Macaca fascicularis: one gene and its partners. The protein of the gene in region 1 binds, or shares a complex with, the protein of each later gene. Links are inferred from orthologs where the notes say so. Each region holds a gene or a part of one and is shown in the gene's direction. Other genes may lie near its edges.

Evidence for each region. Proteins that work in one complex are often made in the same cells at the same time.
Region 2: MED8 (region 1) and MED12 share a complex: the UniProt entries of both Homo sapiens proteins name them as parts of the mediator complex. The link is inferred for Macaca fascicularis from reciprocal best matches to the Homo sapiens genes MED8 and MED12.
Region 3: MED8 (region 1) and MED7 share a complex: the UniProt entries of both Homo sapiens proteins name them as parts of the mediator complex. The link is inferred for Macaca fascicularis from reciprocal best matches to the Homo sapiens genes MED8 and MED7.

What each region holds. Positions count from the first base shown.
Region 1 is NC_088375.1:191,388,106-191,392,357, forward strand, and holds the start of MED8 (mediator of RNA polymerase II transcription subunit 8), read left to right. Parts: upstream 1-1,331; 5' UTR 1,332-1,515; coding exon 1,516-1,871; intron 1,872-2,526; coding exon 2,527-2,671; intron 2,672-3,175; coding exon 3,176-3,316; intron 3,317-3,503; coding exon 3,504-3,585; intron 3,586-3,947; coding exon 3,948-4,196; intron 4,197-4,252. Other genes in the region: KICSTOR complex protein SZT2, read right to left, coding at 187-213. UniProt on the Homo sapiens protein: Component of the Mediator complex, a coactivator involved in the regulated transcription of nearly all RNA polymerase II-dependent genes.
Region 2 is NC_088395.1:77,823,117-77,826,737, forward strand, and holds part of MED12 (mediator of RNA polymerase II transcription subunit 12), read left to right. Parts: coding exon 1-254; intron 255-635; coding exon 636-782; intron 783-941; coding exon 942-1,041; intron 1,042-1,171; coding exon 1,172-1,308; intron 1,309-1,527; coding exon 1,528-1,659; intron 1,660-2,026; coding exon 2,027-2,153; intron 2,154-2,566; coding exon 2,567-2,796; intron 2,797-3,168; coding exon 3,169-3,249; intron 3,250-3,380; coding exon 3,381-3,551; intron 3,552-3,621. UniProt on the Homo sapiens protein: Component of the Mediator complex, a coactivator involved in the regulated transcription of nearly all RNA polymerase II-dependent genes.
Region 3 is NC_088380.1:163,927,905-163,931,727, reverse strand, and holds the end of MED7 (mediator of RNA polymerase II transcription subunit 7), read left to right. Parts: intron 1-440; 5' UTR 441-457; coding exon 458-1,156; 3' UTR 1,157-3,222; downstream 3,223-3,823. UniProt on the Homo sapiens protein: Component of the Mediator complex, a coactivator involved in the regulated transcription of nearly all RNA polymerase II-dependent genes.

The sequences.
Region 1 (4,252 bases):
GAAACTGCAGACCGCGTCCCATAGTCCGCAGGGGTACCATAGTCGGGCCTTCCGGGCTGGGCTGGTCCCTGCCGAGGCTACGCAGCCCGGCCACCCCCAGACCCAGAGGAGGCCAACGCCACGCCTGCCCGCCGGACCCTCCCCCTCGGATCTCAGGGCCCAGTGCTGCGTCCGCCCGCCCCTCACCTCCGGCTCGGGGCGCTCCGAGGCCATCACACAAGCCCTCCCGCGCCGGCCCGGGCCCGTGTGTTCCACTCTTGACCCCTGACCTGGCTACCTCGGCACCCGGAAGGAACAGGAAGTGGGTGGGAGGGCCGAGTTCCAGTTTTCTGATTGGTGGACGAAGCCTTCTCAGAGGCGTTTGCTGACAGGAAACCGGAAGTGGAAATCGTTGCAGTCGCCTCGGCCGCCGCAATGCAGGTGAGAGCCGCGTTGGGAGTGCTAGCGGCTGGCCAGCTTCGGCTACAGGGAGCCAGAGTGGGCTGGCTAAGGAGAATGAAGAGTTGGGACTGAGAAAAGAGGGCAGAACCCACGGCTGATAAGGGAACGTGGGTTGGGGGGCGAGGTTAATTGGAGAGGGAGCGGCGCAGATGAGAGGTGGGGGTGGAGCTCGCCTGACAGAAGGCGGTCGGGCTAAATCCGGAGGGAGGAGGCAGCACTGACTTGCTTGGCGTGGGAAAGGATTAGGTTGTAATACGGGGAGGCCGAGATGCAGTCCAAGGAAGACGGCTCAGGAGGTGGTGGGTTGGCTCAGGCCCTGTCCTAAGCTGCTGGATGGAGGCTGTTGGATGCCGATATAGCAGGGGATCTAATTGGAAAGAAGCCCAAGCAGTGAGGGAATTGTGGGCCGCGGTGTCCGAAAGCTAAGCAGCTTGTAATGTGAGGCCATGGTGGAACCCAGGATCAAGTTCCTGTCAGGCACCTTAGCAGGTTTGCAAGACAGTTTTGCATCACTCTTCCCAGCCTGTGCCCTATAGTTGTTAAGGGTGAAGAAATGGAATAAAACAGGATACCACCGATGGGAAGGAAATGCTTTGCAGACCCCCGGCATTTTAATTTGTTTGTTCAGTGCTTAGAAGCATGTGCGGTTTTGGTTTTCATTTGTCACTTAGTTTCCTGCAGCTGGTAGTCTCAAGAAATGTTATTGGGTTGACCGAGCTTGTGAAAGAGGCACGGGAATATTGACACAGAGATAGATGGGTGCATATTAATTCAGCGAGGAGAAGGTTGAAACATGAAATGATGAGAGCAGATGGAAAGCTGGAGTGGTTGGTGGGGGGAGGGAAAGAGGAGAGCAGGGCTGGTATTCAGAGAAGTCTTCATGAGTAGGCAGATTTCCCAGAGACTGACAAGAGAGCCAGGCTCACAAATGCTAGGATGGAGGAAGCTGGAGTGCATGTGCTACAGAGGTGCACATGAGATAATGATCTGGCATTAGGTTTGTCGAAAATGTCTCAATGAGGGAGTGTAGGGTGTACCTAATACAGAGAAAAACCAGGCATAGATTAGGAGCGGATGGGAAAAAGGAATCAGTTGGTGGAAGTACTTGGGTCAGGCAAACGGTTGAAAGGTCTCAGGGTTGATGCTGTCTATAACCCAAATACCACAGATAGGAAACAACCTGGTTATCCTATGCCAATGAGATCCTGTTACCTGACTGGTGTTTGCACACCATCTCCTTGGCTTTTCAGCCCTCCTTTCTATGTGTCATACTCGTTTATCTGGGTAACCAACCTGTTCCTATTGGTGCAGAGAGAGGAGAAGCAGCTTGAGGCATCATTAGATGCACTGCTGAGTCAAGTGGCTGATCTGAAGAACTCACTGGGAAGTTTCATTTGCAAGTTGGAGAACGAGTATGGCCGGCTGACCTGGTAAGGGTTGCCAGGGCAAGCTAGGGAGGGCTTATGGGTGGGGGGGCCTAGCCTTCTGATGAATAGGACACTTCTAATGATGTAACCATTTATCAGTTTACAAACATCTTTTGATTTGGAAAGAGCTGGGTTTCGTAACATTTAGCAAGTGGCTTCCATGGCAAGGAAGTAGAGAAATGCTCGGTTTCCTAACCCAAGTTCATTATAGCTTTCAATTCTTACCCTTTGACTTCTCTGGTGAGGAGGTCCTCCTATTACAGCTCTATTTGTGCTGGATCTCTTGCCACAAATATGGCTGAGTCCTTTAGATCCAACCTACTCTGAAGTGTGGATCCTATTTCCAGGCTGGAAAGAAGGATTTTACCGGGTTTCTGAAGTTTTAGTTATAACAGTATAGTCCTATTTTGCCACTGTTCCTCACCTCATTCAAACAATGAACTGGATTTTTTCTACATCTGTTTCATAAACTGAAACTATGTCCCTCTTTCATAACCCTGTCATCCTTGTTAGTTTCTTCCCACTTAGGCTAGTCATAGGGCTATGAGACTTTTGGGGATAAATCCGAGTGTTCCTAGCCTGAAGGAACTAGGACTATTTTACTAAGAACCACCCAAGGAAGGGGTGGAACATTCTGACACCTGCTTACTGCCAACAGGCCATCTGTCCTGGACAGCTTTGCCTTGCTTTCTGGACAGTTGAACACTCTGAACAAGGTCTTGAAGCATGAAAAAACACCGCTGTTCCGTAACCAGGTCATCATCCCTCTGGTGTTGTCTCCAGACCGAGATGAAGATCTCATGGTAAGAGCAGAAAAAGAATACAACTTGGGAAATTAAGGAGTTTTTTAGGCTTCTTTACTATTTAGGGAAATTAAGTTCTTAGCTGAGAACTTAGAAATAATTTTGGAGGCCTTGCTTTTTGTTCTTCTGAAGGTGGGAGAGCCACTCCCAAATAGTGTTGTAATAACCTGAGGGGTATGTCACCAAGGCTGGTACCTTCCTTCTCCAACATCTGTCTCAAGCCACAAAGTCTGCCCTTTGGTGACTTTGTCTGTTTCAGTCTTTGAAACGTGGCAGACAGTGATAGTTTAATTTGCCTCTAGGTCTGGTAGAGATAGGGATGTGAGAAGACACAAAAAATGAAGGCTGGAGTAAAGGAGATTGTGTCCTAGGAAACTAGATATTATGTCTTAGGTTGTATTTTCCTTGAAAATGCACTGTTTGCCTGTGGATGGGACTGTATATCAGGCCAGATAGAATCTTCTTGGAGTGCATAGTAGGATCAATAAAATCTGTGTGTTGCAGCGGCAGACTGAAGGACGGGTGCCCGTTTTCAGCCATGAGGTAGTCCCTGACCATCTGAGAACCAAGCCTGACCCTGAGGTGGAAGAACAGGAGAAGCAACTGACGACAGATGCTGCCCGCATTGGTGCAGATGCAGCCCAGGTTGGACTGAGTCACTGCCTTGCTGCCCCATCCCCATCCCATCATGAGAAGCTAGGCATTACCATTCCTGTCTAGTAGGGATGCATAGTTGGTTGCACCTAAGCTGCTTCTGGCAGAACCCAAGGAATAAATTTGTCCATATCGTTTCCTAGTTACCCTAATCTCTGCACAAATTTGTGTGTTACAGAAGCAGATCCAGAGCTTGAATAAAATGTGTTCAAACCTTCTGGAGAAAATCAGCAAAGAGGAGCGAGAATCAGAGAGTGGAGGTATGGTGGACTGGTGGCAAAACAGAGAAGGAGAGGTATATAAGATCACTGGAATGGGAATGGTTGTTTCGAGAGTAGTGAAGTTAGGACACAAGAGTGAACTGCTTTAGGGTTTGCATCCATTCTGTTAGCCTTTTGTATTTAAGGCCAACCCTGAAGCAGTGGAGGAAATGGGCAAAGTAAGAAGAGAGAATTCTGAGATAGGCTTGGGGGTCCTCTGGCTCTTTTTATGGGCTGTGAGGGAGTCTAGATGCTGCTGAATTCAGAACTCTAAACCCTGGCACTCATACTGGTCTTCCAGCTGCCACGTTCAGTCCTGCATCAGAAACATACTTCAGGATCCCCACTTACTTTTTCTTCAGGTCTCCGGCCAAACAAGCAGACCTTTAACCCTACAGACACTAATGCCTTGGTGGCAGCTGTTGCCTTTGGGAAAGGACTGTCTAACTGGAGACCTTCAGGCAGCAGTGGTCCTGGCCAGCCAGGCCAGCCAGGAGCTGGGACGATCCTTGCAGGAACCTCAGGATTACAGCAGGTGCAGATGGCAGGAGCTCCAAGCCAGCAGCAGCCAATGCTCAGTGGGGTACAAATGGCTCAAGCAGGTCAACCAGGTAAGGTGGCAGGGGTTGAAAGGAAGCTGACTTTGAGCAGGGGAGCTGGAGGGAAT
Region 2 (3,621 bases), on another chromosome or scaffold:
ACTCTGGGGAATTTGTTCAGTCTGCGTACCTGTCCCGCCGCCTTGCCTACTTTTGTACACGGAGACTGGCCCTGCAGCTAGATGGTGTGAGCAGTCACTCATCTCATGTTATATCTGCTCAGTCAACAAGCTCGCTACCCACCACCCCTGCTCCTCAGCCCCCAACTAGCAGCACCCCCTCGACTCCCTTTAGTGACCTGCTTATGTGCCCTCAGCACCGGCCCCTGGTTTTTGGCCTCAGCTGTATCCTACAGGTAGGTACTAGGCGGGCCCAAGGAAGCATTGAGAGATAACCTGAGAAGAATTGGGTGCCCATCCCAGAGTATAGGGGTAATTCCAAATTGGATGTGGGAGTAGGTGCTGAGTACTTGCTTGGAGGTGGTTGTTTCTTGGTAATGGGGTGTTAGTCCCCTTTGGGGGTTTTGACCAGCCTCTCTCTCCCTTCCAGGGCTAAATAGTAGGCCCAGAGCCTTTTAGGAAAGTGAGTGAAGGGAGGGGATCGGGTGGAGTGATGCCTGTCTTGGGGGCCCAGTCAGAATAACTTTGGATCTGGAATCTACGGGTTTGGTCTTAGAATGGGATTCCAGAGGGGTAGCCATGTGAACGAGTTGGACTTAGCTGTTTCTATCTGGCAGACCATCCTCCTGTGTTGTCCTAGTGCCTTGGTTTGGCACTACTCACTGACTGATAGCAGAATTAAGACCGGCTCACCACTTGACCACTTGCCTATTGCCCCCTCCAACCTGCCCATGCCAGAGGGTAACAGTGCCTTCACTCAGCAGGTATGTCTGACCACTCGCCTGGTACTCTGATTGGGCTATGAGGCTAAAGTGCTCTCTCAGAAATAGTGATTTGGAGTCTGGTACTATTCTTCTAGCCTGGGGCTCTGGCCTTTTGTATGCCTTGGTACATCCTTATAGCCTTCCTTTTTAACATTGCAGGTCCGTGCAAAGTTGCGGGAGATCGAGCAGCAGATCAAGGAGCGGGGACAGGCAGTTGAAGTTCGCTGGTCTTTCGATAAATGCCAGGAAGCTACTGCAGGTATGTGTCGGAGAACAGATAATAGGAAGTATGTTTGAGGAAAGGATGGAGATAGTAAGGACATGTAGATCTGAGAGCCAGAATGCACTGGGCCTCTAGTTCAGTCCCCTTTACCACTTTTCCTCCTTAGGCTTCACCATTGGACGGGTGCTTCATACTTTGGAAGTGCTGGATAGCCATAGTTTTGAGCGCTCTGACTTCAGCAACTCTCTTGACTCACTTTGTAACCGAATCTTTGGATTGGGGCCTAGCAAGGATGGGCATGAGGTAAGCGAAAAGGGGAATAGAAGGAGCAAAAAACATTGCAAGAGCAATAATATATCTGAGGGGAAGTCATGGTGAGGCATTGAAAGCAGAGCATATCTGCAGAAATGATCTTACTGGGCCCAGAATGTTTTATGATGGAGTGCAGTCTTCAGGAAATTGGAACTCATTTCTTTGTCCCCACCCCTACCTTACTCCTCCCTCTCTTCCTTTGGTCTCCAGATCTCCTCAGATGATGATGCTGTGGTGTCATTGCTATGTGAATGGGCTGTCAGCTGCAAGCGTTCTGGTCGGCATCGTGCTATGGTGGTAGCCAAGCTCCTGGAGAAGAGACAGGCGGAGATTGAGGCTGAGGTTAGAGGGCAGAGATAAGAGAATGAGATTGGCCAATGGGAAGGAATTTACTGGGGTTGGAGACCAAGAGATGGAGGTGGTGGAGGGACCAGAGTTGAAGGTGTGAGAACAGAGGAAAGAAGTGGAAGAGAACCTAAAGGCAAAGTTACGGACATGAGGTGAAAGTAGAGAAGAGTGGATTGTTATCAGAATTAGAGATAACATCAAGGCTTCAGTTGGGAGGTGGTAAAGAAGATGGAGGTCAGCAGGGGAATGAAAATGAAAAGCATGGGGTAGAGGTCAAGCAGGTAGTAGTTTAAGGCCTACACATTGAGGAGTGAAGAAGCAGGTAAAAGTCAGTTCTACAATTTGTTCTGTCATCTTGCAGCGTTGTGGAGAATCAGAAGCCGCAGATGAGAAGGGTTCCATCGCCTCTGGCTCCCTTTCTGCTCCTAGTGCTCCCATTTTCCAGGATGTCCTCCTGCAGTTTCTGGATACACAGGCTCCCATGCTGAGTACGGACCCCTACCACTCTCTAGTTGCGTCTGCCTAGACTCAGTTACCCGCCACTGTCATCAAAAAGTATATTTCTCTCTTGGGCTCTATGCAGAATGACTTTTAGATGTAGTTCTAGTGATCCTCTTTAACTGATCATCTTACAGTTAAAGTAGAGAAATACAGAGAAGGATTAAAACAAGAGCTTGTGATTGAAGCATTTTCACTGCGTAAATCGCAACAAAGACATTACATTCCTTTCTGAGATGGTGTGTGGGGCAGCATGTGAGGTAACCAACCACGCTTTGTCCCTCGACAGTTTCTGGGATTTTTATTTTATCACTCCTATTAATTGCCTTAGGTGTGTCCCTCTCTCTTTTGGCCCACCTTTTTGTGTTCTCCTAACTCATGTTTCCTCATTCCCTTCCTCCAGCGGACCCCCGAAGTGAGAGTGAGCGGGTGGAATTCTTTAACTTAGTACTGCTGTTCTGTGAACTGATTCGACATGATGTTTTCTCCCACAACATGTATACTTGCACTCTCATCTCCCGAGGGGACCTTGCCTTTGGAGCCCCTGGTCCCCGGCCTCCCTCTCCCTTTGATGATCCTGCCGATGACCCAGAGCACAAGGAGGCTGAAGGCAGCAGCAGCAGCAAGCTGGAGGTGAGTGGGCTTTTCCTTGCCCTAGATCGTTTCTTCTGACATTTCTATCTTCATGGCTCCCAGAGGCCTCTAAGAGCGTCTTTTGCGTGGGGCAGGGGGGTAGTATTTTCTTAGCACTTGGTGATTGACCAAGCACTATCACATCAATTGTTTCATTGGTTCCTCCCATCAGCCTTGTGAGGTACTCTTGTCCCCATTTTCAAGCTGAAGGAAGCAGAGGCCTATACTGGTTAAGTGATTGGATGACTTGACTCCAGATCCTGTGCTTTCCACAATCTGGTCTTCTCTCTCCAATTCCCCCGTGAAGTTTTCTAGATGGTGGGAGCCGCTCCCTAGGGCTAAAGCAACTTTGCTTATGTTCTATGCCCTCAGGATCCAGGGCTTTCAGAATCTATGGACATTGACCCTAGTTCCAGTGTGCTCTTTGAGGACATGGAGAAGCCTGATTTCTCAGTAAGTTCAATCCTGAGCGTGGCAGAATCTGGCTCCTTTGATCTTCCCATTATGCCTGCGTTTGGCATTTCTTTACCCCCGCTCATCCCCTTTCCTTCTTCTCATGTTCTGCCTTCTCACCTTTCTCTCAGTTGTTCTCCCCTACTATGCCCTGTGAGGGGAAGGGCAGTCCATCCCCGGAGAAGCCAGATGTCGAGAAGGAGGTGAAGCCCCCACCCAAGGAGAAGATCGAAGGGACCCTTGGGGTTCTTTACGACCAGCCACGACACGTGCAGTATGCCACCCACTTTCCCATCCCCCAGGTACTGTTCCCCAGCACCTTGTGATGATCTGTTTTGAACCTAGATTGCTGTCCAAGGAATTTGCTGAGGG
Region 3 (3,823 bases), on another chromosome or scaffold:
AGGCACCCGCCACCATGCCCGGCTAATTTTTTTTGTCTTTTAGTAGAGACGGAGTTTCACCCTGTTAGCTAGGATGGTCTCGATCTCCTGACCTTGTGATCCACCTGCCTCGGCTTCCCAAAGTGCTGGGATTACAGGTGTGAGCCATCGCACCCGGTGGAAGATTTTCTTTAGAGATCAGAAGATGCTACAGATTTTTTCATGCTGATGAAATTATTAGGGAGAGAATGGAAAATATGTGAATGGTTGAGAATATAATGCCTACTTAGAAAATATGGCAAACTTTACCTATCATAAATGTTAGTTTTAGAAACCAAGGAGATCATCTTGTCTTGGACCCCAAACTACTGGAAGAAAAGGAAGAAAATATTCTGTCTGTAGTTATGAAATGTAACAGGTTTGTTTTGTGGCTCTAATAAATCTTTGGTCTGTGTCCATAGGTTCTTGATAGTCCACAATGGGTGAACCACAGCAAGTAAGTGCACTTCCACCACCTCCAATGCAATATATCAAGGAATATACAGATGAAAATATTCAAGAAGGCTTAGCTCCCAAGCCTCCCCCTCCAATAAAAGATAGTTACATGATGTTTGGCAATCAGTTCCAATGCGATGATCTTATCATCCGCCCTTTGGAAAGTCAGGGCATCGAACGGCTTCATCCTATGCAGTTTGATCACAAAAAAGAACTGAGAAAACTTAATATGTCTATCCTTATTAATTTCTTGGACCTTTTAGATATTTTAATAAGGAGCCCTGGGAGTATAAAACGAGAAGAGAAACTAGAAGATCTTAAGCTGCTTTTTGTACACGTGCATCATCTTATAAATGAATACCGACCCCACCAAGCAAGAGAGACCTTGAGAGTCATGATGGAGGTCCAGAAACGTCAACGGCTTGAAACAGCTGAGAGGTTTCAAAAGCACCTAGAACGAGTAATTGAAATGATTCAGAATTGCTTGGCTTCTTTGCCTGATGATTTGCCTCATTCAGAAGCAGGAATGAGAGTAAAAACTGAACCAATGGATGCTGATGATAGCAACAATTGTACTGGACAGAATGAACAAAGAGAAAATTCAGGTCATAGGAGAGATCAGATTATAGAGAAAGATGCTGCCTTGTGTGTCCTAATTGATGAAATGAATGAAAGACCATGAAAGATGTTTATGTTTCTTTTTTCCTTTTGATAAATAGCCTCATATATTAGTTTATTTTCTTTTGGACAGTCTTAAGAGAGGTTTCACTAAAAATGTAAACAGCTTTAATCTTGACTCCAACTTTTTCAATTATGAGATGTCATAGGCAGTAATTTCACTGTATAACAAGCATAGACAAATGAGTACCCCTGCACTAAGAATAATCACTTTAAAAAGCAAAGTGTTCACCGCTGTTGTATGGGACATTCCTATGTTTTGGAGTTGCGGTAAAACTTTGATGATAACCTCAGTAATAGCAAAAGTTTTCGTCTTTGAAAAGGGGATTTATCATTTGCTTTAAGAATGATAGAGGAATAATGGATATCAATCTATAAATGTAAAACTATGATATCTTTAAACTTATTCCATTAAAAATTTTGCTTAAGCTGCAAAAGGTAGTATAACATGTTAATAGAGAGGAGCCCAGAAGAATTATAAAACAGAAACTTTATTTTTTCCTCATGACTGCTCCTGTAAACCCACTATCTCAGTCTTTTCTCCCTATCCTGAATAGACTCTTGCAGGCAAGTCCCATGAATTGTTTTTTTCTCCAGTCACTCAGGTAATAAGTCCTTTGGCCATTTTAAGTTACAGACATTAATTTTAGTAATTAAGATGTCTATGTCATTAGCTACACATTTTCTTTAAAGCTAAGCCCAGACTTGCTTAAGTCCACATTGGGAAAGGGGTTTGACGGCAGAGACTGCTAGGTGTCTACCAGAGAGTCTTGTTCTTTGAAGATACGTTGCCAAGATGTGGCAACCCAACCAGGGACATTTCCGTACTGCCAGCATCTCTGTGAGAACATATGATTAAGTTCTAGGCAGTGAAATGTGGGCATAGGAATCCAGGCTTGCCCCATAAACATTTCTTGCATGATCCTCCATTCTTTTCTCCCAACTGCTGGTTGCATGGTCATATCCAGGATAAGTTTGGAAGCCACCGAAGATGGCAAAGATTGTCAGTCTGGGTCTTTGAATGACTGTGAGGACTAAGTCTTCTTTTCATTAACTCCACTCTGCCCCTCACTAATTGGACTTTATGTGAGCACTTTCTTCTCCCCACTGTCCATCACCTCTTCCACCAAGGTGTTAGTAGAGAGTTGACTTTGTTTCTGAGGATCTTTGCCTGCCATTTTCTTAATGTAGGCCAGTAGTTCTTAAAGTGTGTGGTCCTGGACCAGCAGCATTGGTACCATTTGGGGACTCACTAGAAATAAAAGTTTTAGTATAATCCATAGGTTCAGAAAAATAAAAAATAAATGAAGTTTCTCTAGCTCCATCCCAGACCTTTTCAACCAGAAAGTTGAAAAGACCAGCGGGGGCAACATAGTGAGAACTTCTCTCCATTGCTATTTAATTTTAAAAGGAAAGGATATAGGGTATGTTGATTGAAGGATAAGTTGAACATATAAACCATGAGGAGGACAGAAAGTGTCTGAAGTTTTGAGTTAGTAGCCCTGGAGACCATCCTTCCTGTTAGCTTCATTCTCTTTACTGATGAACTTCTTTAATGATGTAGGTGGAGAACATGGCAACTAACAGTTCCCATGTGTTAAGCATTTCTATGTTTACCACTGTCTGGGAGTTCTCTCTCAAATACGAAAAAAAATGAGGTTAATTAACGACCTAGACATGAGGAATTAGGGGTTGCATACTTGATTCCAACTGGGCAAATCAACTGGGACTTGGCTCCCATAATAATTTGACAGTCCCCACTATGTCTATGTATGGAAGAGTCAGTCTGTCTCAGAGGAAGGAAGTGGTGCTGAACTAACAACGAGATATCCACTACAGATCAGGCACGTGTAAACTTAATATAAATAGCAAAAATAAACTGACTGTACAAATCTGTGTTCTCTTTATGAGAGTAGTTTTTCCCCAGCTATTCATTTATTCATGGTATTCATTTGATGAATACTTACTGTGGTCACCTCTATGCCTGATGCTAGTTTAAGTGTTGGATGTGTCGGAAGGGCGAAGGAAAATGTAACTAAGATAATAAAACGAATTGATTTTTGAAGGTGATAGTTTGTGTCTTAACTATTCAGCCATTACAGCACCTTCAGAAGAATCTTGCTTCCAGTTATGTTTCTATTGTCTGTTCAAATCACCTTGTCCACATTATCTTCTCTTTTCAAGGCATGTGTACATGTTCACTTCTTTTTTATCTCTTAAAACTTTTTTTTTTTATTTTTTGAGATGAAGTCTCATTCTTTCGCCAGGCTGGAGTGCAGTGGCGCAATCTGGGGCCACTGCAACCTCCAACTCCCAGGTTCAAGCGATGCTCCTGCCTCAGCCTCCCGAGTAGCTGGGACTACAGGCACGTGCCACCATGCCCACTAAATTTTGTATTTTTAGTAGAGAAGGAGTTTCACCATGTTGACCAGGATGGCCTGGATCTCCTGACCTCGTGATCTGCCCGCCTGGGCCTCTCAAAGTGCTGGGATTACAGGAGTGAGCCACCATTCTTGGCCTAAAATTTTTTTTTTCTCTTTGAGTAGAGATGAGGTCTCACTATGTTACCCAGGTTGGTTTCAAACTCCTGAGCTCAAGTAATCCTCCAGCCTCCCAAAGTGCTGGGATTACAGGAGTGAACCACCATGCCTAACCTCACATTTGTTAAGGA